4 linked regions of the Saccharomyces cerevisiae S288C genome follow. Changing the gene in region 1 together with any one later gene gives a genetic interaction. Each region holds a gene or a part of one and is shown in the gene's direction. Other genes may lie near its edges.

Region 1 (8,453 bases):
TTGAATTGCCTAGAGTTTCTGGTCAATGAAGTGGAAGGTAAATGTGGGATTAAAATGTCTAATGGTTGGACATTGGGCGAAAGTACTGGAGACGAAAGGACTTCCTTGGGAAAGAAAATATTAGAGTTATGGTATAGATTTATATTGTCATCAGACGATTCCAATATTGAGGAAATTGAGGAATCTGTTTCTTTTGGAAAAGAAGCAGGATGTCCATCATAGCTCGGTAAAAGGGTATTTGCATGCGAGCACAATCTATGTAAAACATGTATTGGCGAGTCAATACTAATTTCGTAATGTTTCCTTTTATTATCTACTACTCTAGACAGTCTCAGGCAAATTTTAATCCAATGGTTTGCTTTGATGTTTTCATAAGAAGTATCTGGATGCAATTGCTGATGGTTGTTGAAACGACTCGGAATAAAAATCTGGTACTCATACTCTTTATTCACTAAATCACCATTCTTTGGATCCTGCAACAGGTTCCCCATATTCTTGGCCTTTGACAAATTTGCATCATTGGGCAAGTTCGGTAATTTAGGACCTTTCTGTTCTGTCAATAAAAATTTCTTGGTGGGCTCCATCCTATGAACCTTCTTTTCTCTACAATAATACTCCATTGTCTCTGTCACATAAATTCTTATTCTATGCAACGTAACTTTATCGAGGGGAGCGAATTTGAACGTGATAGGCAGAAAAGCATCTAAAATAATATCCTTTGATGCTATAACGATATCATAATATAATTGGTTTTCCCAATCTCTAGATATGATAATCGGCTCACTTTCTTCCACAGAATTATGAGCCTGTGTCCGTACGATATTAACCACTTGCCGGGCGCTAATGTTTGATTTAAAGGCACCAGGTCTCTCTATACTGGCAAATAAGAAGTATTCCACAAATCCGAAATCAGCTTTAATAGATTCTGGGTATGCTTGAGGAATTAGTTCTTCGAAAGCATAAATATAGTCGCCTGGTTGAAAGACAAAAAATTCTCCTCCAGACCCGCTGGTGAAGTTGTTGCTTGTCATTGCCAGATGATTGCTACTGGTGGGGATATGATGACCATGATGCGATGCTGCATCATTATGGGTAAAGGTGTTATTCAACAAGTCGGAAAAGATGGAAGTGGTCGTAGGTTTATAGTTGTGGTGAGACACGGAAGGAGACGTGGCTCTCTTCAATAAATTTATCGGGGATAGGTTTCTTGATGGTCCATTGGAAGAAGTGACTGACGAAGATCTAGATCTTTGTCTACTTTCTCTGTCTTTTACGTTGACAGAGGAATTTCCAGGTGCACCTAGAGGTGACAAGTTCAACGAGGACAAACCTGATATAGAATTTTTTCTGCTTGTTATAGTTTCATTATCAGACAGTGTTCTATAAAGAGAGGCACCACTTTCCTTCGTCAAAAAATTATTAGCTGCATTGTTGCTCTCATTAGGTGCGGAAGCATCCATCTTTTTCTTGCTCTTCTGTTCAGTTGGCGGATATAGAGCCCATGTATGGTCTACAATATCTTTGATTTCCACGAATTCTTGTCTTTTAGGAGGGATACCTTCAGGCCATTCAGTTCTAGAATATCCTTTGAACGAAAGACTTATGCTTTTCAGCTTTGTGGGTTTCAGTATTCTTACCACTAGACAGCCCCGAAGAACAACCGAGGGATATTCCGTCTTCTGAGGGTCAAAGCCTTGGAGGAAAACAACTGGTTCAGCTAAATGAATAAAAAGCTGTAATGATGAACTTTGTGCCAAGGGTGTAGCATCGAGGGGGATATCAATATCCTTTTCCATGGGAAACAATGGAGATGAGATAGATTGGTCCATGGGCATCTTGAAAAATGACTGATCTACAATGAGAAAGGCTGGAAAAAAAAAAAAGATGTTTCAACGTTAAAAAAATAAAGGACTAACGGTAATGAATAGCGAAGTCTACAGACTAATTTGCCCTTTTTAGTCTCTCTCAATACTCACAGACTGCTTGTAGCGTAATTAGTACCTATTCTTAAAAGACGAAAAGGAGAACTAGCCAAGTCTTTTTTTTTTCCCAAATTGGACCATATCGGATTAAATTTCTTTTTTCCGAAACTGCAAATCCTCCAGAGAATGTTTTAATAAAGGAAAACCAATGAAAGACATTTAGCAGAATAACAAAGCAAAAAGAAATGACAGTGAAGAGTGATAGGTGAAGGCGTTGAGAAATGAGAGTTGTTGCCATGGAGGAATGGGTACTGAACCCTCTCACAGAGGCGTCACTAATTTAAAAAAGGAAAAAGGTGTTATATGTATTGGGGAAAGGAGCGATGAATTTTTGGGTGATGAATGAAACAGTGGGATGAGATGAACTACAGCAATATGGTTTGGTCTTAACGGCTGTCATGACAAACTATTGATCAGGGCCAGTATTTGTATCATTATTGTTATAATTGAGAATGAAGAAAGGTTAGCCGCTGAGAGAACCTTCTTCAAATTATGTTTTTTTTGCTTTTTTTCTTTTTGGGACGGCGCGCGATAGATGGCGCAAGGGAGTTGCTCTCCGTTCGACATCAATAAATTGGTTATAAAGTGACGTATTTGGTTCCTTTTTAGTAATTGATGAAGAGTGCGGGATGGCCTATACAAGGAAGAGTCGATTTAGTGCCGGAGAATACACGCCCTGACGTTTGTATAAATGCATTTCCCCAAAAAAAAGCATTCCGGAAATCTCTCCGTGGTGGAATTGCCGAAGGAAGCTCTCCAAGATTCTTTAACTGCTGCTCAGATTACTTTCAAGAGATATGCCCACCCCAATGGCAATGCCGGTAGCGCAGAGAGGCCGAGACATCTAAAGGTGGAATCTGCGCCTGTCGTGAAATCTGAGCCTTCTTTGCCGAGGATGAGACAACCGGAACCGAGAAGTATAAATCATCAATACTCTAGGGAAACGCTTCCAGGCCATTCTGAAGCCTTTTCCGTACCGACGACTCCTCTGCAGACAATCCATTATGATGTAAGGAATAAAGCGTCAAATTCGCCAAGTAGTATAGCAGCTGCAGAGACAGCTGCATACCTAGCCCACACAAATTCATTTAGTAACAGATCATCCGGTGTCGGCAGCCGGGATCCAGTTATGGATACTGAAACAAAACCGCCACGTGCTCCTTCAGCCTTGAAAAATGAGCTGCAATTGAACAGAATGAGGATACCTCCGCCGTCATATGATAATAATGTTCGTTCACGATCTATTTCGCCACAAGTATCCTACTCTACCTCGCTGTCATCATCGTGTTCCATAAGTTCCGATGGAGAAGAAACTTCTTATAGAGAAAAAAGCACCGATGAGGCATTTCCTCCTGAACCTTCCATGTCTTCTTATAGTCTTGCGTCCAAAGCCTCAGCAAAGGCTTCTCTAACGGACCCCTCACAGCGGCAGCAAGAGTCAGACTATACGGCAATGAATAAACTCAATGGAGGAAATATAATATATAAAGGCACTTTACCCGACCTAATACCGCGAAGCCAAAGGAAGACAAGTAAACCCAGGTTCAAGCACAGGCTTTTACGATCACCTGAGCAGCAGCAAGAAAACTTATCACGTGTGTATTCGGACCAAACGCAGAATGGTAGGGCAATCATAAACACGCAGCAAAATGTAAAGTTAAAGACAACTATGAGGCGCGGGAAGTACGCAATTACAGACAATGATGAAACTTTTCCCTACGACAGAAAGTCTGTATCATCAGACTCAGACACAGATGAAGATTCTAATGTGATGGAAATCAAGGACAAGAAGAAGAAAAGTCGTCGCTCTAAGATAAAGAAGGGGTTGAAAACAACAGCAGCTGTAGTTGGGAGTAGTACCTCTGTCCTTCCGTTCCCTCATCACCATCATCATCACCATCAGCTCCATAACCCGAATTCTCATCACTTACACACGCACCATCATACAAGTTCTCACAAATTCAATGAAGATAAACCGTGGAAATCTCATAGAGATCTCGGGTTTATTACCGAACAAGAAAGAAAAAGATACGAGTCTATGTGGGTATCAAACAGATACTCGTATTTGCGCTTGCTGCCGTGGTGGCCCTCTCTCGCGAATGAAGACGACGAGTCTCACTTACAGCCCTTAAATTTACCGCAAGACGGCCTGATGCTTAACTTAGTCGTAAAAGATATATGGTATCGATCAAACCTACCCAGGGATCTTCTAGTGCAAATATACAATATGGTCGACACAAGAAAAGACGGTACCTTAGACAGAAAATCGTTTATAGTGGGCATGTGGCTGGTTGATCAATGTCTCTATGGCCGAAAGCTAACGAATGAGCTGGACCAGAGAGTTTGGAATAGCGTTGACGGCTATGTTCTCGGTACAATTAACGTGAAGCCTGCCACTTCCGATCACTATCACAACGCTAATAACCCTCTAGATAAGCCATCAAAGCTTTCAGTCCGACAGGAATTGAAAAACATCAAACGCGATCTCAGAAATGTCAGAATATGATGCCTGGCATTATTTGCAGAAGTTCTCTTCCTGTGTTAATAATGAATGACGATGAGTTAACAATGACCCTTATGTATACAACGAAAGGACGAATGAAAGAAATGAAAATATTATCTTTTTTTTTTTTTTTCTCAATTTTCCTTCACTTTTAGAAGTTTTTCCGTTCCGCGGATTTTGTTCGTCGGACCTTTTGCTTTATTTGTCTCCAGATCTCTCGAGCATAATGGTCGTTTTTCATTTCATGCTTATAGTCTTTGTCTTTCCAGCGGTACCCCCACCCCCTATCTTGGGCTATTTTCTAATTTCGTCCCTCGGATTATTTAATTCATATTCTCCCCACCTTTGTATTACTAAATTTATTTTCCAATGCTCTTTTCACTCATTCTTCCTTTTGCATATTTCTATCAGTATATATAGCGAATTGTATATATAAGCGTCTTGTTACCGGTATAGGAATTACCTGATAGAAAGAAATAGAACATAATAGGAGGAAGGGCAAACAGTGCGCCAAAACGAAAGATAGTAGAAGATGTTTAGAGTATTTGGTTCATTTGGATCAAAGGGTAATCAATCTTCTGGTGAAGAGCAATCAACAAAGACAAAACAGGTTCTGAAGCAGGCTAATGACTTTGAGATCGCCTTAAAGGCAATGGATTTTGTCCTTGATGATAGAACGGATGAAGGGTTGAATTTGCTGAAAAAAGCTGAAATGGAAACTGGTTCAGATCAAACTATCTTGACTTTGGCAAGAGGTGTTATTGAATTTCTTCAAGCCACTTTGAGTTTTGAAACTGAAGAAATGAAAAGAGCTGCAATTACTTTAGGCAAAGCTGAGCAAATGTCCTGGAAAAGTAAGCAAAATGCTGAAAAGACCAATTTTAGGAGCAGTTCAATATATCCTCCCGGTACTGTCTATGCTGTAACATATACTGAGTCATGTCTGTTGCATGCCTTGTTGATGTTATTTAGTGAAAGCATGATGGAAGCAGCCAAGGCTTTGCTAAAGTTAAGGAGGGCTTATACAATGTTACAAGATATCATGGTTACTGTCAAAAAAGCTGAACGATCGAAAAATTCGAGCTCTCCCTCTCCAAGCGAAAAGAGCCAAGAGTCATGCGGAAGTTTTGTTTCTGCAGAGACAACTTTCATATCGGTTGATATACCATACAAATTGTCTTCCGAGGACAAGTCCAATCCACTCCTATTGGAATTTGCTGAAAAAATCTACACGATGAGAATGGGAAGGTTATCAGGTGCCCATATTGGCAATACTCCATCTTTTCATAGGTTAAGGGATGATTTGGGTTTACAGACGACTCCGTCTCAAGCTTCCGACCGCCATTCTGTTTCAGATGATTTCGATTTAGAACAGGCTACCATCGACGAATTCATCCATTCAGGTGCTAATTTATGCTATGGTATCTTGCAAGTCGTCTTATCCTTACTTCCACCTGCAATCGGTGCTGTGCTATCTATTGTTGGATTCAAGGGATCCCGTGAAGAAGGTTTGAGGCTAGTTTGGAAGGCTACAAAGGAGAGAAATGTTCACGGGTGTATAGGTTTGTTAGGTCTGATGTTTTATTACGACGGTCCTTTCCAATTTACAGATGCTGACTTTGATATACCACCAAACGATAATGGATCGAGGGCTTTAAACAAAAGCAGAACAAACGATAGTAGCCTTTTACCAGGTTATATGGACAGTGCAACCTTATTGCATCCTGGAAAAATTCTGGAGGACGCATTACTAAAAGCAAGAGCACTTTTTCCTAATAGTGCCCTGTGGCTGCTAAATGAGGCCAAAATGCTTGCTGGAAAGGGCAGGCTTCGTGATTCTCTGGCCCTAATGGACTCTATTGATGTCAATAGTATCCGTATGAGACAAGTGAAATCGTTGATGGTGTTTGAACGTGCGATCCTTTTAGTCAACTTACACGAATACAACAGAGCTGCCGATGATTTAATAAGTTTGCTTGATATTAGTGATTGGTCTCACGCATTGTACACTTATTTTGCGGGTTGCTGTTACTTGGAAAATTGGAGGATGACACAATTAGGCTTATTAAATGACGGTAAAGAACAATTCTATAAAGAGCGGGCTCGAGAACTCATATTTGACGCTCCATCTTTGTTAGGTAAGAAAACGTTCAAATCCAAAAATCTTCCATTGGATAGATTCATGCTTAGAAAAGTTCAACAATTTAATAATATGCAGAAGAAATTAAACCTACAAGAACCACTAGACTCAATAGCAACATCACCTGTCCATGAACTGGCTTATTTCTACAACGGTTACAACAGGATGACTGAAAACGATTTAATTTTGACCAAAAAGATGTTGACAGAGTATCACAACCCCGCCATTGATTCGGAAGACCCAGATCAAGAGCTGATCAGAAACTTACTACTATCCTTGACCTTAAGAAGATTGGGGGATGCTGAAAGAGGTTTAGCCTTGTTAGATGACATTGTTCTGCCAAAAATATTCTACATTCAAAATGGCAAAGTCAAATATTTCAAAAAAACCGAAGACCCATGGGCATATCCAGCCGCTCTTTATGAGAGAGCTTTATTCTGTTGGAAACTGGGTGGCATGGAAAGTTTGAATGAATGTAGGGAATGGCTGCTAAGAGCCCAAAATTATGCCGCCGATTACGAATTGAGTACGCGTATCGGTATGAAGATCAAAGCCGCCCTTGATAGAGTTGAAAACGCGCTTGCTTAACCTTTTGCTTCTTCCGCCCCAACATTTTAGAAGTATGCATTTTTTTTTTTCTTTCGACTACTTACCTTCCCTTGCTAGCAGTTATTACAACCATCATTTTTTCGTGACGTTTCATAGTTTTTTTATATTTTTACGCAATGGGTTTCCCGAGTAGTTAGTTCTACGGTGTCGATATATATAGTGTTATGATTTTAAAAATGAACATATTTAAATTTTTGAACCTCCTTCTTAGTTATAGGCCAAGTTCATTACTCCCTAGGAAACAAAACCGGTCCATCGTAGAAATTTTTTTTATTTTACAAAAGGGTTATAGTAGAATCAAGACAATTTATTTATCACTGAGATATTGATCGAGTAGATGAATGGTCGCTCAAACTGCTAAACTGAAAGGCGACTTGTCATTCAACAACGTTTTCTATTCCTATCTAAACCTATCGTTAAGCAATCTTTCGACGCCCACCTCTTCGTATTCCTTTTTCCCAACCCACAGTTGGTGAAATGTTCCCAGACTTGTAAGTATACTACCGCCAAGCCATGACTGGTATTGCCTTTCGATAGTGTGCCCTGTTGTTAATATTCTAAATTTAAGGGATGGTAGTATTTTGTTTAGTTCTGTCATTAACCTATCACTTAATCCAGGAATAGAGGATGTACCGCCTGTAAGGACAACATTATGAGCTAGTGTCGCTCTTAGATCCACATCACTGCTCATTATAGACGAATAAACAAGATCCGCTAGACCAATCAATTCATTATTTTCTTTAGGAGGCTTTTCTTCTTCTAACGGTCTCTTACCGGTTTCATTTGGAGTGTCTGCACTATTTGCAGCCGGAGAAGTAGATTTGCTTACAGCTTCCTGTTCCTTTTCTTCAGTTGGTGTAACTTTCTTGTCTGATTTGTTCACTCCGCTTGGCTTGGTTCTTTTTAGCGGCACGTAATCATTCCGCCAAGTTTTCACAACTCCAGAGTTCGAGCGAGGCCAATTTGCTGGGATGTCATCTTCTTTTGGAAGGAAAAGCTCTTCAGCAAAGCCGTAACGAGTTTCGTTGTCAAAAACAATCTCCTCATTCCAAGGACTTTCAATAGATCTTTTAGCCGTAGAACTTAATTCTGTTTTCGTTTCTTCCAAAGTTTTTGTTGGGCATATATGACAAAGTGTTTCTTTGCACTCTTGAAAGAACCCTCGGTTATTGGCGTAATCATACAGCGATTTATCAACCTCATAGTCGAATGTTTTTTT
Region 2 (7,660 bases), on another chromosome or scaffold:
ATCTCATGGAAAAAGCTACTTTTGAAGGGCTATATTCCGCCTTACAAGCCAATTGTAAAGAGTGAAATAGATACTGCAAATTTTGATCAAGAGTTCACTAAGGAAAAACCGATCGATAGTGTAGTGGACGAGTACTTAAGTGCAAGTATTCAAAAGCAGTTTGGTGGGTGGACGTACATTGGTGACGAACAGTTGGGTGATTCTCCTTCGCAGGGGAGAAGCATTAGTTAGAAGCAAGCCGAAGCAAGCCGAGCCGAGCCGGACGGAATTTATAGCTATAGCCGCAAGAGGTTGCAATTTTCAAAAATGGATAGTTCAAGTAGATTGCGATACGCACTCCGTTACTATTGTGGTTAACGGGGACAAGAAGAACTACAGAAAATAGAATGGTCCGCAGAGGCTGCGCTCTTCTTTTAGCAACTCTCACACGACTTATGTTGCTTATTCATTTCTTTTACAGCATTATCAGAATTCTTCCATCTACGGAATTGAGATCAAAGACCGACCTGTTGTCGGCCGAAGGACGGACGCTTATACCCGCGGATGTCAAAGCGAAGCCCGCGGGGCGCAAGTCGAGGTTACCGGAATTCGCCAAACGGCAAAGGACCCTTGCATTGCCTGAAAGGAAAGATTCGCTTTTCTGTTTGTTGCCACTTTTCTTACATAGTCTGGGCCGGGAGCAGCTTATTTCTTCCGCGGATGATCCTGGATTTCCTTGCGCGGGCTCAGCCATGGGGAGCCTTACCTAGTCCCGTAAAGGGAAAAAGCTAACCTCATTCGCCTCACAGGGTGAAAGCGTGAACAAAAAAAAAAGAAAAGCTTAATGATTAAAATTTACAGTATATATATATTTGTATTTACGTATTAAACTATATATAAATAGATATGTATGCCGAAAAAGTAAAGTCTGGGTGATGCCTAGTCCAATCTTTCTTACTACTGTCCAGTTTCTATCGTAGCAGTTAATTATACATAGAACTGTGTAAATTCAACGCATTAATTTTTTTTTTTTTCACTTTCGCAGTTAGGGGGGACACATTTTTTTTGCCCTTTCTTAAGCTTCGTAAGCGAGTTACATCATTATTTCTTCCTGGGATACAATACGCGTTCGTACAAGTCACAGCTGGACCGTATAGGGAACAAGACTGCAACTCTCTCCAACTTGTTAAACAGAGGAGGAAAAGAAAGAGGGAAAAGAGGAACAAAGACAATCAAAGAAAAAGAATAGAAAGCAGTTGCTGAGCTCTTGGCATATTGTATACGGTAGTGGCGTATAATATAGTACGAGAATTAGAAATATGACGAATATGGCGGAGGATAAAACAAGTATAAGCAAGGTACATTCTGAATTCAGCAATTCCTCGAATACCACTGGATCTGAAGAGGAGAGTCGGTCGCATCAAGAGAGCTTCGACGGCGAGTCCAGTTCCGGTGAAAGTAAAAGTAAAAGCAAACTAAATCTTGAATATTCTGCAGATATCGAGCCATTGAAGTTCAGAATGACAAAAACTAATAATACAAATGACAAATTAAAATATAGTAACAACGGCAACGCCACTGATTCATTTATGAGACTAAAGGAACATTTACAGAGAGGCAATACTTTAAATTCGAATCTTAGGGTCAATGAGTTTTACCCTTTCAATTCCATTGATACAGAGCAATTTGAAAACTATTTGAGAGAGCCAAAATACATTAAAATGTTGAAACGTCGGAAAAACCTGAAACAATTTAGAAGATTGTTTCTCGCGCAAGAACTAATGGCCTACGAAGGTGAAACGGTTACCTCCACTTCCAAATCATCTGAACCAACCTCTAAAGCTATATGGAGTACAAAGTTTAGCCGCGATGGAAAATTTATGGCCACTGGTAGCAAAGATGGTAAAATAAGAATATGGAAAGTTATTGGCTCTCCAGTTGAAAGAGCCGAATTGGACTCGAGTGCGGAATCAAATAAAGAGGCACGAGCCAAGTCGATGCGGATCAAACAGCAGGTCAGTTCATTGAACAATCCAAAAGAAAAACAATTTTTGGATTCTGCTACAGAGAAATACGAAGAGAAGGAAAAATTATTGAATTTGTATGCGCCTGTCTTTCACCCAACGCCTTTGCGACTGTATAAAGAACACGTGCAAGATGTTCTGGATATAAATTGGTCTAAAAATAATTTTATTTTGTCAGCATCGATGGATAAGACAGTAAAACTATGGCATCCCGATAGGAAAAATTCACTTAAGACATTCATACATCCTGATTTTGTCACTTGTGTGGAATTTCACCCCACCGACGATAGATTTTTCATTAGCGGCTGTCTGGATCACAAATGCAGGTTATGGTCTATACTGGATGATGAAGTTAGCTTTGAGTACGATTGTCAAGACTTAATAACATCTGTTACATTATCCCCTGAGGAGGGAAAATACACTATAATAGGAACATTTAATGGATACGTTCATATTCTGATGACCAGAGGTCTCACTCCAGTTTCTTCATTTCACGTAGCTGATAGACAAACACAAGAACAAAACGCTCACGTCATGGTCACGGAAACTGACTCAAAAATTCGTCATGGTCCACGTGTGACGGGTTTGCAAGCTTTTAGATCTCAACTGGACAATTCTTTCCGCTTAGTAGTTACATCGAATGATTCGAGGATAAGAATTTTTGACTTAGAACAGAGGAAGCTTCTAGAGGTATTGAAAGGCTTCCATAGCGGATCTTCCCAACACAAGGCACAATTGTCCATCTGGCATGGTCAGCCAATCGTTGTAAATAGTAGTGATGACCATTGGGTTTACGGCTGGAGGTTAAAGTCTTCGGATAGAGAGAATGATCAAGACGAACCTAAAAGGAAACCAAAGGGATTGGCTCGGTCCGGAAGTTTGAGAAGCATATTTAGTAAATCAATGAGTAGGTCTTCCAGCCAGAATAACGAAGAAAAACCACATCATCATTTAAAACTTACTAACTTACTTCCCTTGCCTCATCATAGCAACGATCATTATATCAAAAATACGGATTACATTTCTTTTCATGCACACAATGCCCCTGTTACTTGTGTTAGCATTGCACCGCCAGAAACTTCGAAAACATTATCTTTGTCTAACGATGTTATCTGCGAGCTATCTCTAGAGTTTTTTCAGACATCCGATAGTTTCGATGTTTTGAGTCGGAGTAACGACGATGGCATAATGTCAGATGTAGAGTCGTCTTTGGGCTACAATTCTAAACCAGGCTCAATTTCTAATGCTTCCGCCACCAGTGCTATCCCAGATGTCGTTGACGCAATTGGAACGATATTGATCAGTACTGATAACGTAGGGACTATTCGTGTGTTTAGAGCAGATATGCCCTCTGTTATAAGAAAGCGCGTGTTACTCAAACTAGAAGAATACAATAGAGAGGTTCGGAGAAGGTTTAACAGTTCTGATTCTTTGCATTCTTTGAGTCGAAGCTTCAACTCGAGAGCGAAATCAAACTTGGCTGGCCAACCGGCAGCGGCGTATACTAATACTGGAAAAGGCTATGCAACGGGACGTGGATACTCTAATATATGTCCCAAAAGCAGTACATCACTAAAAACACTCGGCAGTAATGCACAGCCAAGAACACCAAGGGAAAGCATGTCATCTATTTTCTCCAATGCACATGGGCCTACCACTCCAACGAGCGCAATGAATTTACCTATCCGTTGCAATGTTTGTAACGGTTCAAGGTTTGAGGCTTTTTCTGGTGCTAATGACCAACAAGATAGAAACTATTATTGCGTAGACTGCGGTACAGTAGTTAATAACTTCCGCTAACGCTGATGGAGTATTTTTTTTCCGTGGATGATACCTTTAAATGCATATTAATCTTCGTACATAAAGTAAAGAAACACGATACACTTAAATAAATTTTAATCTAATAATTAATGAACGCTAACAATGAGCCTATCATTTGTTGCCGATATACTATAACGTATCTCTTCGAAAGAACAAAACGGAGTGAGTGCCTGTTAAGGGTAACTACTCCAAACTGAGTGGACCTCGGCGGCTAAAGCTATACTTTTTCTGTTATTTAAGGGACCTAAAAATACACACAGAGTAGATTAAGATTTGGTGCACTTTTCTCAATTTATCAACTTATAAAGAACAGGCTGCCTTTCAAACATAGGACGTTTCTGTTGACCATAATGAAAATGCCCAGTATTATTCAGATTCAGTTTGTAGCCCTAAAAAGGCTTTTGGTAGAAACCAAAGAACAGATGTGCTTCGCAGTGAAAAGTATATTTCAGAGAGTATTTGCGTGGGTTATGTCATTAAGCTTGTTTTCATGGTTTTATGTAAATCTTCAGAATATTTTGATAAAAGCATTAAGGGTAGGGCCAGTGCCTGAACATGTCTCCTTTATCATGGATGGTAACCGGAGATATGCCAAGTCAAGAAGGCTACCAGTAAAAAAAGGCCATGAAGCTGGTGGGTTAACGTTACTAACACTACTGTATATCTGCAAAAGATTGGGTGTAAAATGTGTTTCCGCCTATGCATTTTCTATTGAAAATTTTAATAGACCAAAAGAAGAAGTAGATACGCTAATGAATTTGTTTACGGTAAAGCTTGATGAATTCGCAAAAAGAGCCAAGGACTATAAGGATCCCTTATACGGATCTAAAATAAGAATAGTAGGTGATCAATCTTTACTATCTCCAGAAATGAGAAAAAAAATTAAAAAAGTGGAAGAAATCACACAGGATGGAGACGATTTCACTTTATTTATATGTTTTCCTTACACTTCAAGAAATGATATGTTACATACTATTCGTGATTCAGTTGAAGACCATTTGGAAAATAAATCACCAAGGATTAATATAAGAAAATTTACTAATAAAATGTACATGGGTTTCCATTCCAATAAATGTGAATTATTAATCAGAACAAGTGGGCATAGGAGGCTCTCAGACTATATGCTATGGCAAGTACATGAAAATGCCACCATTGAATTTAGTGATACGTTGTGGCCAAATTTTAGCTTCTTTGCTATGTACCTGATGATTCTCAAATGGTCCTTCTTTTCCACCATTCAAAAATATAATGAGAAGAATCACTCATTGTTTGAAAAAATACATGAAAGCGTTCCTTCAATATTTAAAAAAAAGAAAACAGCTATGTCTTTGTACAACTTTCCAAACCCCCCCATTTCAGTTTCGGTTACAGGAGATGAATAAGTAAAAGTGCAAAACTAGAAAGCCCAAGAGAGGGCAAAGAACATTCTGAAAACTCCCTGATTCTTCCATACCTATTACCATATTACATCATTTTTAATTAGTAGTCTTTTAATTATCTATTATATCCGGTATATAAAATATCCTTGCGCCAAGTGTATAGCTAATAAAATGTAAAAAAAAAAAAAATTAGGAACAAAAAATAAAAAAAGCGAAAACAAAAAACTCCGTTAATGAATATTTCATGATCTTGTTAAACCTAGGTCATCGAAATCCCCTTGTACTTTACTCAGGTATGCTATTTTCATCCCTATTGCTTATTTCATCAGGTACGGTGGTGGATATATTAGGAGTGAACGTACTGGTAGAATTCGAAACATCAGCTGCTGTAGTAGCGGTGGCATTTAAAGAACTAGGCTCATTTGGGGTATTGACACCTGTGGTAGTATTCGTGGATCTCATATGACTTGATCCAACTTCGTGACACCAATACCTATGATATCCCCATGCTTTTAATTGACACTTTCGTGAGCAATATTTCGTTCTTTTGCATCGACGACATTTTGCAAATTGTCTTGGAAAATCTTCCCATTTTCCGCACGAAAAATTGGCACACTGACGCACACCTAAGATCTCATTTTTTCGACATGAATTTCTCATGATGACAGAACTCCAATATATAACATCATGTGTATTTTCTGCGCTCACTGTATATTTTTCGACTAAGGGGAAGATGTTTACAACATTTGTTAGTACCTTGTTTTTGTAAACAATATTTGTTAATTCCTTTTTCATTTTATCGTAGCTCCAGCGCCTTTCAAAGTTATCAGATATTTTCTTCCTTAAATTAATTCTTTCCTTGTCTTTGCCATAGGCATTGTCGTCGCTAGGTTTCGGTACACGGTAGCGCTCAAACAAATTAAGAACGGGACAGTGGTTATTACATATTTCATTTTGTTCTTCTTGTTGACATCTGTTTGAGAGTTCTTCTAATTCTTTGAAAAATGGATCCATTTTGCTAGTATCTAGTGCCTTAACTTTGGAATTGTTTTCAGGATTTTTCGATAAATAAGGATATAATGAAGACAATTTTACAGTTACGTCTCTTTCTTGTTCTTCTAAGTCATTCTCTTCTGAGATTCTCTGTTTAATTTTGTAAGCCATACTTCTGAACGATAGGGATTCAACCAGCTCAACATTTTGAAGGGTTGATTTCATATATGTATACTTCGAAACAAAAGCTAATAACTGAAGCGACCATATAACGTCGTCTTGTTTGGGGACAATTCTTCCGAGAAAAAATTCACGTGGAGTGGAAATTGTAGGTCTATTAATGTCTGGTTGCGAAAAGAAATTCTTATGTGCATCAAAATTTTCACTTTCTACTTCACTATCAATATCAATGTCGTCGTCGTGTCTTTCCTGGTCAGGTTCAAAATTGCTAGCTAGGTCTGCAAACCGGCCCCATATATCACTAAAATCAGTTGGAATTGTCATAGACGGTGCCACTAATCGTTCGTTTAGAAAATTTTTGTCAGTTGACAACTTCAATTTATCCTGACCTGTAATGAACTCTATATACTGCTGATATGTTTCATTCTCATCTTTTCTCATGAATTTATACATTGTCTCCGTGGTTATCCCTTTGAAGTCAAAGGTCATTGTTTGATCTTTGATGAAGTCGTAATTTTTATGATATAGTAAATAGTTATCCAATACTGTGACCAGCACAGATAAGACCCCAGACATTACCACTTTTTTACGAATTTGTTCTGTCCCTCTAGTACCTGTCAATACTAAGCACTGAAATGTTAAAGTCCATTTCCAAGCGCATAGTGCTAGTCTTTTCTCCTTCCATAGATCCTTTATGTTTTCGTGCTCATTAAAATTTTCTAAATCCAAATCCAGCAACTCAAACAAACTTAAATGACAACTCCTCAATATTGAGACTAATCTTTCGAGAGCACCGTCGTTAGCTACCGTTTCCCTAACTTTTGATGAATTAGAGGTTAGATATGTTAAGTAGTTTAGGGAGTTTATTAACGGAATACTAGAGTTGATATCCAATGCCCTTCGGTCATAGACAGTAGATGTTATTGTTACTATAGGCTTGTTCGACGTTAATGATCGATGATTAGAGTCTCTCATTTCTTTACCTTTTCTTTGTTTTGAATATTTCAAATTACGTTCTATACGCTGTTATGATATGTTAATATAGCAAAAACAAACAAAAACTCCCAGGGAAATGAATTGAAAAATGCAACAAATAGGGACCTCACCTTTGTATAATGGAAGATTCCCAAGTTTCACTTATAGTTGATCAATGGGTATGATGAAATTAGCAAAGTAAAAAAGGGAATGTTTAATGGTTCAACTTAGATAAATGGAAGGTTGAATATGAGAACCAACAAAAATAAAAAATAAATAAAGTCTCAAATTATCTATATCGCTCTAATG
Region 3 (8,623 bases), on another chromosome or scaffold:
GATTCTAGCATGATTGAACATAATTTCATCCAAAATCCCTTCGATATTAGATACAATATTGTTATAAATTACAGGCATATTTTTGGCCCTTGATGCACTCTGGTTGTCCCATTTTAAGATAAGACTTTCTGTTGTTCTTTGAATGCCAATAGTGATCTTACCCTTACTGTCCATTTTCCCATTCAGCCAATATCTAACTGTAATTGTACTTTTTTTAGAGTCATAGTTATGGATCAAATTACTTTTGGAAAATTTACCGCCGTTGGCCAGCTTTAAAAACTCTCTATGAACCATGTATAGCTGTAATGTCAACACGTATTTGTGCAGAAAATTGTATAGGGATAATAATGGATCATTACTTTTCAAAAGAATTTCATTGATCAACTTCTCTAATCTTGGCTTATTCAAAGGAAGGTTATTTCCGTTGGAACTTGAGTTTTCTTCATTGTTCTCACTATCGCCGTTAGTCGAAGTAGCTTCTGTAACTGCTGAAACAGTTTGTTCAGCTTCCGTGTTAAACAACAATTTTAAATCCACAAAAAACAGAGGGGACTGTCTATTAACAGTCGATAACTGGATTTCAAATTCATTAGGGACAGTAAAGTAGATTCTACCGTTTTTGATATGATAGCTGTTTAATGGTTTAGGAATGTTCATTAATGCAATTTTTATTGAGACAGTCAAGTTCAAATCTTTTAATCTCTGTAAAATCAATCCAATGGGAACTTTGGCCATTCCATCTACCATATCCATAGAGTTACTGACACCGCTTAATTTAAAGTTGTGTGTAGGTAGATTTGGCCTCCCAAGACTCAAAACTTCCAAAGCGGTGACCAAATCCACGTTGGGCAATTTAGCATTGGTCATAGAGTTTAGACTGCTTTTCAAAGCCCAAATACAATTGTTGACATTCATGTTAGTCGTTCTAAACCAGTTCAACAGATCGATTAGTACGTGAAAGTTGTTTTGTTTTATAGTACGGGTCCATTTCACAAGCACGTAAAGTTTCAAAAATTGTGTCCTTAGGAATATAATCAGCTGTAAGAAACGTATTTTCTTTGCGGAGTTAGGCTCATTTGCCTGGGTGTGAACATTAGTTTTCATGTACTGAGCAAGTTCCTTCATTGTAAATACCGTCAAGTTCCTTATTACTAATGCCAGACTGACTTGATTAATCTCAACATGCGGCAACGCTGGCGGAGGCGCACTTGTCATAGTCGCTGCACTTGTATCTTTCGGTACCATTTCTAGAGATTCTTTTTGGGTGGCCGTAGTTTCCGGGTCGGTTGCAGAAGGGCCATGCAGTTGAGTGTTCTTAACGGGACCCTGTTGCTCTTGCCCATTCTGCTCGGACCGGTTCTTCAGTGCGTGCATCTCGTTAGAAAGTCTCTCCTCATTAGCCAGCATTTGTGGGGATCCTATCGTGGTAGTCATTGCCCAGCCAAGAAAACCCTATACTTTCCTGCCACTTTTTAACTCTTTTTCTGATGATCTTTACAACAGACCTCTACTAAACAATTGAAAAATTCACCGTTTTTACTTGAACCAGCGACCGTGCGATGGGACAATCGTTTAGTTAACAATAAGCGGGACAAAGTAATTAAATTTAGTGGCATCTAGAGAGAATAATTGAACGCAATGAAGAGAGCATGGTACGTTGAATTGTAGAATGTGGGGGGATAGTATGCGCGAGCTTGGTGACGCTATGGATAATGAGTTGAATGCAGTGAAGCCGGTGGTGGAAGAAGGTGGCATGGATGGTGCCAGAAAATTTATTAAGGGTAAGAGCTTTCAGAAGTCTTCTACCGAACATATGTTGATTTCGCCCGGTAGGGATGGTTCAGTGCCATTGAATGGGTTGAAATCGTCGCCGGCAGACCCGCACTTGTCTGATGTTAATTCTATCTTGGACAATCATCGTGGCGGTGGCGAGACAGCTTTGACGTCTGTAAATAATATTATCATGGCCACTTCGACGAATGGGGACAGTGATGGGGTTGATGGAGATGCCAAGAGGCCGTCTATTTCTAACTGTTCGTCGAGATCATCATTTTTTGACACCGTACTGAGCACGTTTTCCCTAAAATCAAATTCACAAGATACGGTTACTAATGAAGTCAAAAATATTGAGGTCCAGTTTGCATCCGAGGAGGCTAATAAAAAATTCCGCCAAATGTTCAAGCCATTAGCTCCTAATACGAGACTTATTACGGACTACTTCTGCTACTTCCACAGAGAATTCCCCTATCAGGGCAGAATCTATCTCTCCAACACACATTTATGTTTCAACTCAACCGTGTTGAACTGGATGGCAAAGTTACAGATTCCCTTGAATGAAATTAAATATTTAGATAAGGTCACCACAAATTCAAGTGCTATTTCGGTGGAAACCGTGACTAACAGGTACACTTTTTCCGGATTCATAGCGAGAGACGAGGTTTTCCAATTGATTACAAGAGTTTGGTCAAAGGAAAACTTAACCAATATCAATGACGTTTTGGAGGTTGATGAGAGGGTCTCCAAGAAAAAGGGAATATCATCGACCCCTTCTTCCATATTCAACAATGTTTCTACCAATGCATATAACGATTTCATATCGACAACCACTACTGAACCAACAAGCAGGGCTTCCTACATGAGCGAGAACGACATGCTCATCGAGGAGGCCATAAGGTCCGTGGACGATTACATGGGCACACCAAGAGCATCGCCATCTTCTTCATCTTCGTCGTCATCGTCGTCATCGTCTTTAGGCTCTTCAACAACTTATTATTGTAGGCCCGTATATAGGTTAAAGCCAAACGCACCATTTCAATATGAGGGGCCATTCCATGTACAAGAAACCATGGACTTTCCTTATAAACCTGAGGCTAATAATGAATACGTGCTTCTGGAACGTCAATTCAGCGTTCCACCCGGCCTACTTTTCATTATGATGTTCAATGAAGATAATCCAGTTTTTGAGTTAAGCTTTTTGAAAACTCAAGATTCGTCCAACATCTCACACATAGGGACTTTTGAAAAAGTCAATAAAGATGGACAACATTACAGAGAATTCCAATACACCAAACAGCTGCATTTCCCTGTGGGGCCCAAATCCACAAACTGTGAGGTAGCGGAAATTCTTTTACACTGCGACTGGGAAAGGTACATAAATGTTTTAAGTATAACAAGAACACCAAATGTTCCTAGTGGTACCAGTTTCAGCACCAGAACGAGGTACATGTTCCGATGGGATGACCAGGGGCAAGGTTGCATATTAAAAATAAGTTTTTGGGTGGACTGGAACGCATCCAGTTGGATCAAGCCAATGGTAGAGAGCAATTGTAAAAATGGACAAATTAGCGCCACTAAGGACTTGGTAAAGTTAGTCGAAGAATTTGTAGAGAAATACGTGGAATTGAGCAAAGAAAAAGCAGATACACTCAAGCCGTTGCCCAGTGTTACATCTTTTGGATCACCTAGGAAAGTGGCAGCACCGGAGCTGACGATGGTACAGCCGGAGTCGAAACCAGAAGCTGAGGCGGAAATCTCAGAAATAGGCAGCGACAGATGGAGGTTTAACTGGGTGAACATAATAATCTTGGTGCTCTTGGTGTTAAATCTGCTGTATTTAATGAAGTTGAACAAGAAGATGGATAAGCTGACGAACCTCATGACCCACAAGGACGAAGTTGTAGCGCACGCGACTCTATTGGACATACCAGCCAAAGTACAATGGTCAAGACCAAGAAGGGGAGACGTGTTGTAACAGAGTAATCATGTAATATTGTATGTAAGGTTATGTATGTTCGTATGGTATGGAAAAAAAAAAAAAAAAAGGATGCTATGTGGAGAATGTAAGGCGTGGTAGCTCCGGATAATTCAGTCTGTAGGCTTCATCACGGGCAGTGGCCTGACTCTGAGAGCTTGCTCCGGTATTAAGTTGTGCGTTTGAAATTTTCTGGAAAAAAGAAATTGATTGGTTGAAGCTATACTCGTCGAAAGATTTCTTCGGCAGTGGTTGTTGCTCCACCTGCACGGGAGTTGTGTTTGCGTTTATGTTCGGCTTGGCTATATTATTAGCGAGTGATGTTTGCAATTTGCTGTATTGAGAATCAATTTGGGTGCGTAAGCTTTCAATAATTTTGCAGACCGCAGGCACTTCCAACTTTATGAGTTGCAGGTATTCTCTTTTATGAATATACGATGACGACGATGACGACGACGCATCCATGCGCAAAAGCTCAGGGTGTCTAGATAGTTTGTTAGTCAATAAATCCACATATCTAAAATAATAAATAAACGACAGCGACAAGTCGTTGGCCTGGAACGCACACTGTGCCTTTTCCAATATGCCGATGCATGTTTTCAGGTAAATTCTCAATGGTATCGCCGGATTGAAGCGATAATCCTTAGCGTCCTGAACCAATTGCTTACTAGACTTCATGACCTACCGGGGCCAGATAAAGATGCGGAAGGAAGAGAAAAAATGTATAGTGGTTGGTGAACCGCAACAATAATTCGTGCCAACACTTTAATCGAAGCAAAAATTGTCTTGTATGTTATTAATATTATCTATCTAACCATTGATTTACGTATAAAACTGTCGATGCTCATCGCCTAGCAATGAAAAAATTTTTTCTTTTTTTTTTCATTATTTCTCTTTGTTGCGTACTTTTTTTCATTGCGTTTCGCGGCAAAAGCGATTCGAGTTGACTGGAAGTGTGTTATACTATAAAAAGTGTATATGCCTATTTTTGGTTCTGATCTTTACTTTACTGTTAAGTACTGGCTGAGGCAGTAGACTCTGCCTCTGTTACGGCAGCGGTATTCGCCTCGGCATCAGCAGCCGCCCACGGTAGAGTAGGTTCTGTTGTTTTGACGTTTGCCAAGGTACTGTCCAAATGCTCCTTCAGCAAGGCCTCATTACTTTCCTTCTCCGGACCCACCGATTGCGTGATCTCCTGTACACGGTTCAAGAACTTGTTCAAATTGTAGCCCGCAGCAGCATCAGAGACTTCTTGTGTGTAAGGGACACCCCTCAACTCCTTGACTCTTCTTTTGTGCACTTTGCCCTTTAAATGCGTTTTTAACGCTATAGCAGTCTCCATGTATTTGGCACAGTGTATGCAATAGTGCTGACCAAGGCCCGGTTTGGTTTCATCCAATGGCTGGTTCAGAAGCTTCTGTACTGATTCCTTGGTGGACAAATCGTTATAGATCAGGTCCAAGTCTCGTGTTCTTCTTTTAGTCTTGTATCTCTTCACCGAATATCTACCCATGATGCGCTATTGTTTTATCTTCACTTGTCTGTGTGTTTAACTGCCTTTCAATTCACCTCATCTCATCTCCCGCTACTTTCCATATATAAAAGCAAAATTAATTTGCTTTTTCCCCTGTCAGTATAAAAAAATTTTCCGCAGGATATAGAAAAAAAAGAAATGAAATTATAGTAGCGGTTATTTCCGTGGGGTGCTTTTTTACACCTGTACATCTTTTCCCTCCGTACATTTTTTTTATTTTTTTTTTTGGTTTTTTTTTTTCGATATTTTTCCCTCCGAAACTAGTTAGCACAATAATGCTGACTAAGGAAACTTTTCATCTCAGAATTGATGGTCAGTTTGGTTTCTCTAGAGAATAGTTTATAAAAAGATGTTGATGTGGAGCAACCATTTATACATCCTTTCCGCAAGTGCTTTTGGAGTGGGACTTTCAAACTTTAAAGTACAGTATATCAAATAACTAATTCAAGATGGCTAGAAGACCAGCTAGATGTTACAGATACCAAAAGAACAAGCCTTACCCAAAGTCTAGATACAACAGAGCTGTTCCAGACTCCAAGATCAGAATCTACGATTTGGGTAAGAAGAAGGCTACCGTCGATGAATTCCCATTGTGTGTCCATTTGGTTTCCAACGAATTGGAACAATTGTCTTCTGAAGCTTTGGAAGCTGCTCGTATCTGTGCCAACAAGTACATGACTACTGTCTCCGGTAGAGATGCTTTCCACTTAAGAGTCAGAGTCCATCCTTTCCATGTCTTGAGAATCAACAAGATGTTGTCTTGTGCCGGTGCGGATAGATTGCAACAAGGTATGAGAGGTGCTTGGGGTAAGCCACACGGTTTGGCCGCTCGTGTCGACATTGGTCAAATTATCTTCTCTGTCAGAACCAAGGACAGCAACAAGGATGTTGTCGTTGAAGGTTTGAGAAGAGCCAGATACAAGTTCCCAGGTCAACAAAAGATTATTTTGTCTAAGAAGTGGGGTTTCACCAACTTGGACAGACCAGAATACTTGAAGAAGAGAGAAGCTGGTGAAGTCAAGGACGACGGTGCTTTCGTTAAGTTCTTGTCCAAGAAGGGTTCTTTGGAAAACAACATCAGAGAATTCCCAGAATACTTTGCTGCTCAAGCTTAAGTTCTTTTCAAACATTTGAACTAACTTAAAAGAGAAATTTTTTTGATTTAAATTCTAGTTTATTAAACAGTAAATATATTTATACATTATTGTAATACATATAATTATGTGTTTTTTTAAAGTTCAGCATGTTGGGTAGTGATATATCCTGAAGTCAATGGACACTGTTGCTTTTTGTATACCAGCAGGAAAAAAAAAAGCCTGAGCTGCAGTAACGAAGAATTGTTGAATGCGTCTAACAAGAAAGGGAGCAATCGATAACAGGGACGTGCGCCGCTAATGTCATTCAGATTATTCACGAGGACTTCTCAACGTCTCCCTCGCCTTAACTGGGTTAGTCCCATCAGGCGATACGCCAAACAACCTCAATACGATGAAGCAGAGTTGTTTGCAGAGAACATTAACCATGGCGCATATAAAGCAAAGAAAAGGCCATCAGACGAGCATTTCCAATGGCCTGAGAAGTCTCCTGATCAGATCACAAAGGAATCTGAACTCCAATGGGAAAGGATGGCGAAATTATCTGCTGTTGGGCAAGGGATCCTCATTCTCGTGGTAGTGGGTGGGTTGGGAACGGCCTACTTGCGTTGGCCAGAATTAAAATCCTGGTGGTTAATCAAGATGAATGGCGGTCGCATAAATGCAACGCAAGAGCAAAGTGGACAGGATTCGTTGGAAAAATTGATCAGACAAAAGGCCAAAAATCTATTAAGGGAGATTCCTCAAGTGCCTGCCTTTCAACTTGGAATAGATCATCCTGGTGTATACATATGGGGAAGGTGTCATTCTAAGGACTCATTGTTCCCTGTTAGAGTACCTAATTTGGATGGTCGTAAATTCAGAGATATCCTATTAGCTCCCTCTGACGATTTCAACACCAATTTTGCAATTGACGAGAAAGGCGATTTGATATCGTGGGATGATTTGGGACAAACAAAAACGATATTGCCAGATCAAGATTTGACCTCAATGAAGTATTCTAGTCACTTTTTGTACGCTTTGAATAAAAAGGGTGAAATATTGGTCATACCTATAAGAACGCCGGATCTGATAGCTTCGCAAGTATCATCAAGAAGGTCGAAATTGTTGCCATGGAAGACAAAACTAAGATATGATTGGAAATTACAAACAAATCAGATTTTCAACGGTAAGGAAGGAGAAAAACGTGTAGTACAATTTGACGCTGGTAGCCATCATCTGGTGTTGCTATCTAATTTAGGTAAGGCTTATTGCTGCGCGACGGGAAATGATCAAAAACAAGCTCAAGTATCCAAAGGACAATTCGGTATACCAACATTCTCACAATTCGATGAGTTTCCTCCCAATAATCAACTATTCGAAATTGAACTGCTGAACAAATTTAAGCATGAAGGAGAAGACGTTGTCCGCAAAAGAGAAATTAAAAAGATAGCTTGCGGGTCGTACCATACACTGGCAATAGATAAGACTGGTGAAATTTATGCCTTTGGCTGGAATAGGTTCGGCCAATTGGCACTACCTATTTCGTACAATCTAGAATATGTTTCTTTCCCAAGATCGGTAACGCATGCATTTAAACCGCATTTCCCGGGGATGACGAATTGGAAATGTGTGGATATTCATTGTGATGATGAAACATCGTTTGTGACCATTCGTAAGCCTGGCTCAACGTCAGACCATCATTATTTCGCGTTTGGTAATGGACTTTTTGGTGAATTGGGCAACAACACTTTCAAGAACTCGCAATGTGATCCCATAAAAATCAAGTCGGATGACAAGAAATTGACCAACTGGAGTTGCGGCTCTCATTGTGTGTTCACTGAAACTGAACAAGAAAACGAGGTCATTGCATGGGGTAATAACGACCATGGCCAACTAGGTATTGGAAAGAAAACTATGAAATGCGCTAAGCCAATGAACATTCCCGAAGTTCTCAAACCAGGACAAGACACGACAGATTTGGACTCAATTTATAACAGTAAATTACACTTAAAAAAGGAGCAACGTGTAGTCACCAATGGTAATAAAAGTTGCTTATACTGGCGGGTTTGAGAAACGAAAGAGCATAGAAGGAAAGTAGCGAGATTCGCGATGTTTTTTCAACCCTTATAATGATGCATGTATATATGGTATGTTTATTTATATATAGAACTCACGGTTACTTCTATCTTAACCATTTCAACACATAATAAATACCTATGATCAAGAGAATTAACGCGATCCAAAAGACTAGTTTATCTTTGA
Region 4 (7,670 bases), on another chromosome or scaffold:
GCCAAAAAACGCCTGTATAAATTGATGATTGATAGTCCGCATCTAAAAAAAATTGAGGACTCTTTGTCCCATATATCAAAGGTTCTCAGTTACCTAAAACCCTTAGAAGTTGCAAGAAATGTTGTGATATCTCCTTTGAGTAACTACAATAGCGCTTTTTACAAAGGAGGTATCATGTTTCATGCAGTTTATGACGATGGATCCTCACGTAATATGATAGCTGCTGGAGGGAGGTATGACACTTTGATATCCTTTTTTGCCAGACCATCAGGAAAAAAGAGCAGCAATACTCGTAAGGCTGTAGGTTTCAACTTAGCGTGGGAAACAATATTCGGTATAGCCCAAAACTATTTCAAACTCGCTTCTGGAAATAGGATAAAGAAGAGAAATAGGTTTTTGAAAGATACAGCTGTTGATTGGAAGCCAAGCAGGTGTGATGTATTGATATCGAGTTTTTCGAACTCTTTGTTGGACACAATCGGGGTTACAATACTGAATACATTGTGGAAGCAAAACATTAAAGCGGATATGTTAAGGGATTGTTCCTCGGTGGATGATGTCGTTACTGGCGCTCAACAGGATGGTATAGACTGGATTTTGCTGATTAAGCAACAAGCGTATCCACTAACCAATCACAAGAGAAAGTACAAGCCATTAAAAATAAAAAAATTGAGCACTAATGTTGACATAGATTTAGATCTTGATGAGTTTTTAACCTTGTACCAACAAGAAACTGGTAATAAATCTTTGATCAACGATAGTCTCACTTTGGGCGATAAGGCTGATGAATTTAAAAGATGGGATGAAAACAGCAGTGCCGGTAGTAGTCAAGAAGGTGACATAGATGATGTTGTTGCTGGTTCGACTAATAATCAAAAGGTAATTTATGTTCCAAACATGGCTACAAGATCTAAGAAAGCTAATAAAAGGGAAAAGTGGGTTTATGAGGATGCAGCCAGAAATTCTTCGAATATGATATTACACAATTTATCCAATGCACCAATTATCACTGTTGATGCCTTAAGAGATGAAACTTTAGAAATAATCTCAATTACTTCTTTGGCTCAGAAGGAAGAATGGCTGAGAAAAGTTTTTGGGTCAGGTAATAACTCGACTCCTAGAAGCTTTGCCACGAGCATTTATAATAACCTCTCCAAAGAGGCTCATAAAGGGAATAGGTGGGCAATATTATACTGCCACAAAACCGGAAAATCATCTGTTATCGATTTACAGAGGTAGGCCTTTAAAGATCTGTGCGGCGCTATAACGCATCAGTTAAAGGTAAAGTATATACAATGTCTTAGATACTATATTTAGGCTAGCTGATTCATCTAATTCACCGTTGTAAAGGGGGTAGGTCACCTTTCTTATACATATTCCTGATACTAAAGACAAATGTAGGTTTAATGAGATGGTCTACTTCTTCTCTCCTTTCTCTACTTTCCATTTTGTATTTAATTTTTCGGTGAATATAAATGTGTGCGTATGTTGTGTGAGGCTCCTCTAGCTCCTACGGGAGACATTTAATAAATGATCATAATATGGCGTGAAGAATGCTTTCATTCAGAAGTTTGACTAGCACATTCGGTTTCGTATCACGATTCCAAATTAGACGGTTAGGAACTAGTTTATCAATACAGAATTTAGAAGTGCAAGATGGCCGTTGGAAAGGTAAACTAGCTACAGAGAAGAAGACCAATAGGGAACACAAGTCAGTGGATACGAATATCAAGACAATGAAGATGCTTAAAAACCCGAAGAATTCTACTCGCTATTTGAGACGAAGTTTTGTGCCAAACCACAGAAAGCAGGAGAATGGACGTGATATTCTGGAGGATTCTTTAAGTAAAGATCACTTAAAAGTGAAGAGTTGTATCACCATTACCACCGGAGAGGGTTATGATCTCAAAAGATGCATGAAATTGCTTACTATGCAAGGATTACAACCGACAAATTTGATACCTGATGAAATCGTGTCATTTAGTTATCAGGATAATGGCAATAAAGGTGACGTAATGATTTTAGGTCAAAATGGATCTATTGTAAGCTGGGGCTTCAGTGAATCTAGTGTTCGAAACTGCATAGTGCCTATAGTTAAAGCAGCGAGTTTAAATCCACTGAACGGAGAAGACTTTGAGACTGAGGACATGGATTATGTGGAAATAGAAGGGGAACAAGATTTTGATAAGCTTTCCAGTTTGGATAATAAGGTAACACCGAGAATTGCATGCGAAAGCTTTCTTTCTGGAGATTTGATAATAATTAACTCCTTGGATTCTGATCAAGGAATGCTAGATAAGGCGGCATTCTCAAGTGGGCTATCGAGAAGCACCAACTTGGCAGTCCTAGAAGAAGCAATGGAAAAACATATATCAAAGACCAGAACAATAACAGAAAATATTTCTAAGGGAACAAAGTTAAATCTAAGGTCAAGTGATGCATTAAAGTCAATAGGCCGCCTTTTTCTAATTAGAGGAAAGTTGAACCTCTATTCAGAACTAATTGAGACCCCTGATCTTTATTGGAGTGAACCTCAATTGGAAGAGATTTTTAAAAATGTTTCGAGGTATTTGGACATAGGCCCAAGAATAAATATTCTGAACAGCAAGCTGGACTATTCTACGGACGAGTGTCGAGCCCTCATCTCTCTTTTAAACGAGAGAAACAGCACTTTTTTGGAATGGATAATTATATACCTGATTGCTTTCGAACTGTGCTTTGAAATTTATCATTTCTACCAGAAATATTCTTCCTACTGCTCAGAACCCACGAATGATGATCTAGATGCTACAAAGTAAGAGATTTTTTTGTAAATAAGAGTTACTTTTGTATGTTGTATTACGGGCTCGAGTAATACCGGAGTGTCTTGACAATCCTGATATAAACAGTCTTAGGGAAGTAACCAGTTGTCAAAACGGTTTATCAGATTAATTCACGGAATGTTACTTATCTTATGTATTATATAAAATATGAATCATACTAAGTGGTGGAAGCGCGGAATCTCGGATCTAAACTGATTGTTCAAGCATTTATACGTTTGGGTAGTTCAGCTAGGGAAGGCCGTGTTTTATCTCATGTTGTTCGTTTTGTTATAAGGTTGTTTCATATGTGTTTTATGAACGTTTAGGATGACGTATTGTCATACTGACATATCTCATTTTGAGATACAACATTGTATATACACAGAACAATGAGAAAAAGTTCCACTCAGTAATTAATATTCTTTTACCCAACGTTTCCTTATAACGTTGTTATTGAAAAAGGGATATTATATGAATCCACGCACCTGATCTGGCTCTTAGAAGCGACTAAATAACTACATATGTAAGAGATCTGCTCCTGCCACAAGAGAAAGCGTTTTTTAGCGATAAAATCAAGATTTCTCATTTCCTAATTGCTTATGACGGACGACCTTCATTATTAGAACGTGCAAATGTGCATTAGCGTGTAATGATACATACGCAAATTACAATAAAAAATAAACATGTAAATAAATGAGCCCACTTAAAATAATATGACATATATTAGTTTGCACTGTCATGAAAACCCTGATAACGTGGTGTCATTTTTATTACACCCGTATATTCATCAGCCCGTCCTAACCTATCCGAACGACGCAGGATGGCCACTAACATCGCAAATAGTGTTATTACTTTTTCCATTTGGATGTTCTGCCCTATAATGTTACGCAGTTCCGAGCTTCGCTGACACGTGGGAGGTGGGATATAATATTTGCACGGGTTCTTTTTTGTGTCGTCTGGCGGAAAAAAATAGACTCGTCTCTTGTATGGCGCGCTAGTAATTTATTATTTGCGATGCGCAGAACCTTATCTTTTGTTTTCTATTCAGTATAAAACTTGAACGATTTCACCAGATGTTTGTACACTTTGATTCATTGCAGCCCAAATAGAATTTTTGTCAACTGCCATACCAAACTTGTTGAACTAAAAAAAAACGACAGCAATTGTTTTTCAACCTGACACCAAGATGGAAGATACCTCGAGGTGCATCGATGATGTACTGAAAATAGGACAACAGGAGAAGGAAATAAGACAGGCAGAGTTTTCTGACGCACAAGGGGAGAGAGAGGAGGTTAAGTGTATTGATTACACAGTAGATTTGGAAGCAGGTCTTCCGCGCCACGAGAGTAGTGGAAAAAGTAATACCCTCAAACAGTGTTATAACGCCGTTCTAGGGTTTCTCGAGGAACTCATCATCGTCATTATTATTGTGTTGCTGTTGTACAGTTTGACAATGGTAGGTCTTTTTTATGTGATGACGATGACGAAGTTTTTGTTTTAATAATAAGAATAATGGGATTTGTTTTCTTTCAAGATTTTTCTTTTGGATAGTACATGCCTTCAGAAATTAAGCAGGGAGGCAAAAGATAATATTTTCTCATATGCATTTATAGCCGAGCCTTTTTTCTTCGCAGTATGCGTTTGTTTTATAGTAATTTAATGATTTTTATGTTTTTGAACACCGCAGTCAAGAAAACAGTAGGAAAAAAACTGCGGGCGTCTTTCATACTGCCTTTAGTAGTAAGTGTAATTTTACAATCTATACGTACCGATATATATACATATATTAATGCATGCATGTATATGTATAAGCGTTGCTTTTATTTCAGTTTTTTCGTTAATATTAGATCTCGCGGGCATTTTCAGATGTAAGCATGGCTGCATACTTGTTTCTCTTTTCTGAATCCTCCTTTAAAAGCTGCAGTATTTGATCAGTTATTTTCTCAATAATGCTGTAAGCCTCGTGACAACATTTCATTAGCGTCAACGCATCCATTGGTAAACCACCCGCTTTGGAAACTTGTACCACTTCACGGTTTTTGTTTAGCGTAACCGTCAATACACCATCTCGCAGTAGTTCCTCTTTCAATGTTGCATCAATGATGGAAATTTCTGAGTTAGTCTCACCTTTTATGTTTTCCTCGGTGTCTTGAGGATTGAAGAAAGAAAAAGTTACACATATTGGAATATGCAGTATACCTAGTGGAACTGGCTCTCTTTCATTAACAGGATGAACAATGATCTGCTCGCCATGGACAGTTATATCTGGTTTCTTAAAATGCATCAATCCTGCCATGACGGCAATACACGAAGCGTCAATAAATCCACCATCACAATCCAGGAAATGTACATCAGCTCTCACAGCCCAGCATTTACTGCCAGCAACGATACATAGTCCTTCCACGTCCAATGCGCCCGACCGCCTAACAGATTTTTCAATTATTCTTGAACATAAAACTTCATCTTCCCCCGTGATATTTCCATTTTCAAATTGAGAACCAGCCATAGGAGATATTTCTGTAGATATTACAAATAATCCTTCAAATGGCCTGTCTTCGTATGGTTGTGCTATTTGACAACTAATCCTGCAGTGAACTTTGGTGTTGCCCATTTTTACGCTAACATCACCAAATTCTTTACCAAACGTTATTTCCACGTCACGAAATTGATCAAAGGAGCGGCCGTCCAACCTATAATTCTGTCTCAGTGCTTCTAAGATAAATTTTGACTCGGATGCGGATATCTCAATGTCTTTGGCCATTTGTCTTTTAATCTAATGTATATTCTGAACAATTTTGCAATCACTACGTCCTGTTGATTAATGTATCGAGACTGAAAGTTAGGAAGTTAGAAAAAAAACTTGAAAGTTGGTAAGGTAAATACAATCTAGCAACCGTTTCCTATTCCTTTATATTCAGACATTTGTTAACATCATCGAGGGAAAAGTTGTTAATTTTTTCTTGAATTCGAGAAAGGAAAAAAAAGGTAGCCCATTCGTTGGTAGTGACAATATTGTGTAATTATCTCGCACTGAGGTCATCACCACCGAGTTATAGCATTCAAATTGCTGTTTAATTATGATACTAGCTACTTACGTTTAAAAAATCCATCAATGGCCCCTTTTCCTATGGCTACTTTTGGTTTTTTATTTTGAACTATTTTTTTGGTAACTTTTTTCACTGGCAATGAAACCCTGCCATTCGAATTTAGGCCTACATTCATGGCACTTTTCATCAGTAATTCTCTTTCAGCATTCTGTAATTCGTTCGTAGTCTCGTAGTTTTCGAGTTCTATGAAGCTAGCTTTTATATCCGGATTTAGGCAACCACTATCCATTGTAGGTGAAAAGGTAAGTAAATTATGGTAGGCCGCCCTTGGAATCAGGGAAACTAAAAGATTTGTAGCCATAACTACCTTGTAGCACTGTTTTATTTCCGTTGGGGCATTTTTAAGTGTAGGGATACTTGGAGGAAAGTTTTCTACAATTTTTGATACCTTGCCTAACAAAAATTGTGTTATCATTGCAGATGTGATCTTGTAATAGACGTCACCAGCTTCCTCAATGGTTTCACTAACTTTTGCTAAGCCACTCTTGAGACGACTTAAAGAAATGTTTTCCCAATTCTTGTCATGGTTATCCGTTAAGAAATCATGGTAATCACGCACCGTAAGAAATTTCTCATTGGTTTTGCTGTTGCTTTTTTGGTTTTCACCAGTATCACTTGAATTGGAGTAATCTTGTTCATCTGCTGAAACACTGTTTCTATAGTAAAATCCAATCAAACTAAAAGCAATATCGTATAAAGAACAAAAGTGTATTTTGCTTGAGTTAAAAACATAACCATCGGTGGGATCAGACGTATTTACAATGAAAGTTGATTTGATCGGGTGATTTTCCTTAGTATAGTGATATTTATCATTTGCCAAATCTTCCTCATGTGAATACGAGGGCCCTTTGCCGAATTGAAAAGATCTTATTTCGTAAAGTTTTCCATTAATATTTTCGAAGAGCTCGATACGAGGTTTGGATGTAATATTGGAAGGTGGCGGCAGTGTAAAAGTGTTTATAGTTTTCGAAGTTTCATAATCGTCTGGTAAAATTATTAGTCGTTCTTCCCCCCCAATGTTGGAAACGGTCATGCTTTTTGTTCGAGAGGCCAGAAAAGAAAGTCAACTATTGCGACAGAATAAGATTAAATTTGTACTCGATTTGTTTCTGCTGTTGTACCAGAATCATTAACCAGATCTGACTTTAATTCTCATCGCGCTCGTGCTTTTGACAAACTTGTGAGAATGGAGTCTGTAGTGCCTTAAAAGGAAAAAAACGCGTTGTGGTTATGAATATGAGATTTCATAATCCAACTATGGCATCGACAACATTGAAAAGATAATGAGCTGGAAGTTGCTCCATTTTTTACCTTTTGAAATTTCTTCTTATATGTATATGCTCACTTTACTGACTAGTAAAATGTCGTGAAAATTTTTAGAGTTCCATTTTGGCTCAAGACAATGGCGCTACGAAGAAACGCCATACTTAAATTCCCCTCATGAACTTAGAAATTCACGAAAGAAGCTGAATCTTTACAGAATAAATTTGTAGAAGAATTTTTCTGTTCTTTTATGCTTTATTCGTTGCTGCTGTTGATAATCAGCGATAGCTGAATTTATTGAATAGAGAGGCCGGGAAACTTCGTGCTACTGTAGAACTGAGATATAGAATACATCACAACTGGATGTATTAGACAAGTTTAATTTACTAGGAAAAAAAAGCTCAGAAACTTACAATTCTAATTAATGACTAGAATTTCATATATGAATCCTAATTCAACGTGAAATTGGTGGACTTTTCAACTTGTCACACTCAAGTAG

Evidence for each region.
Region 2: mutations in TAX4 (region 1) and SRT1 together harm fitness more than expected from each alone (negative genetic interaction), as found in Saccharomyces cerevisiae (one large-scale study listed by BioGRID).
Region 3: mutations in TAX4 (region 1) and LAM6 together harm fitness more than expected from each alone (negative genetic interaction), as found in Saccharomyces cerevisiae (one large-scale study listed by BioGRID).
Region 4: mutations in TAX4 (region 1) and MRX10 together harm fitness more than expected from each alone (negative genetic interaction), as found in Saccharomyces cerevisiae (one large-scale study listed by BioGRID).

Annotation. Positions count from the first base shown.
Region 1 is NC_001142.9:276,168-284,620, forward strand, and holds TAX4 (Tax4p), read left to right. Parts: upstream 1-2,673; coding exon 2,674-4,488; downstream 4,489-8,453. Other genes in the region: ALY2 (Aly2p), read right to left, coding at 1-1,835; IML2 (Iml2p), read left to right, coding at 5,018-7,213; ARP4 (Arp4p), read right to left, coding at 7,635-8,453. UniProt on the Saccharomyces cerevisiae protein: With IRS4, acts as a positive regulator of INP51 activity and phosphatidylinositol 4,5-bisphosphate turnover. Negatively regulates signaling through the cell integrity pathway, including the MAP kinase SLT2.
Region 2 is NC_001145.3:465,991-473,650, reverse strand, and holds SRT1 (ditrans,polycis-polyprenyl diphosphate synthase), read left to right. Parts: upstream 1-4,174; coding exon 4,175-5,206; downstream 5,207-7,660. Other genes in the region: putative protein kinase YPK2, read left to right, coding at 1-231; YMR103C (uncharacterized protein), read left to right, coding at 387-749; LAF1 (Laf1p), read left to right, coding at 1,299-3,803; MYND-type zinc finger protein MUB1, read right to left, coding at 5,489-7,351. UniProt on the Saccharomyces cerevisiae protein: With NUS1, forms the dehydrodolichyl diphosphate synthase (DDS) complex, an essential component of the dolichol monophosphate (Dol-P) biosynthetic machinery.
Region 3 is NC_001144.5:277,193-285,815, forward strand, and holds LAM6 (Lam6p), read left to right. Parts: upstream 1-1,669; coding exon 1,670-3,751; downstream 3,752-8,623. Other genes in the region: RGR1 (Rgr1p), read right to left, coding at 1-1,434; RFU1 (Rfu1p), read right to left, coding at 3,827-4,429; BUD20 (Bud20p), read right to left, coding at 4,764-5,264; 60S ribosomal protein uL16 RPL10, read left to right, coding at 5,735-6,400; FMP25 (Fmp25p), read left to right, coding at 6,680-8,431; BOS1 (Bos1p), read right to left, coding at 8,544-8,623.
Region 4 is NC_001136.10:1,018,639-1,026,308, reverse strand, and holds MRX10 (Mrx10p), read left to right. Parts: upstream 1-1,553; coding exon 1,554-2,798; downstream 2,799-7,670. Other genes in the region: serine/threonine-protein kinase GCN2, read left to right, coding at 1-1,239; PHM6 (Phm6p), read left to right, coding at 3,988-4,302; exosome non-catalytic core subunit RRP45, read right to left, coding at 4,645-5,562; RNH202 (Rnh202p), read right to left, coding at 5,889-6,941. UniProt on the Saccharomyces cerevisiae protein: Component of MIOREX complexes, large expressome-like assemblies of ribosomes with factors involved in all the steps of post-transcriptional gene expression.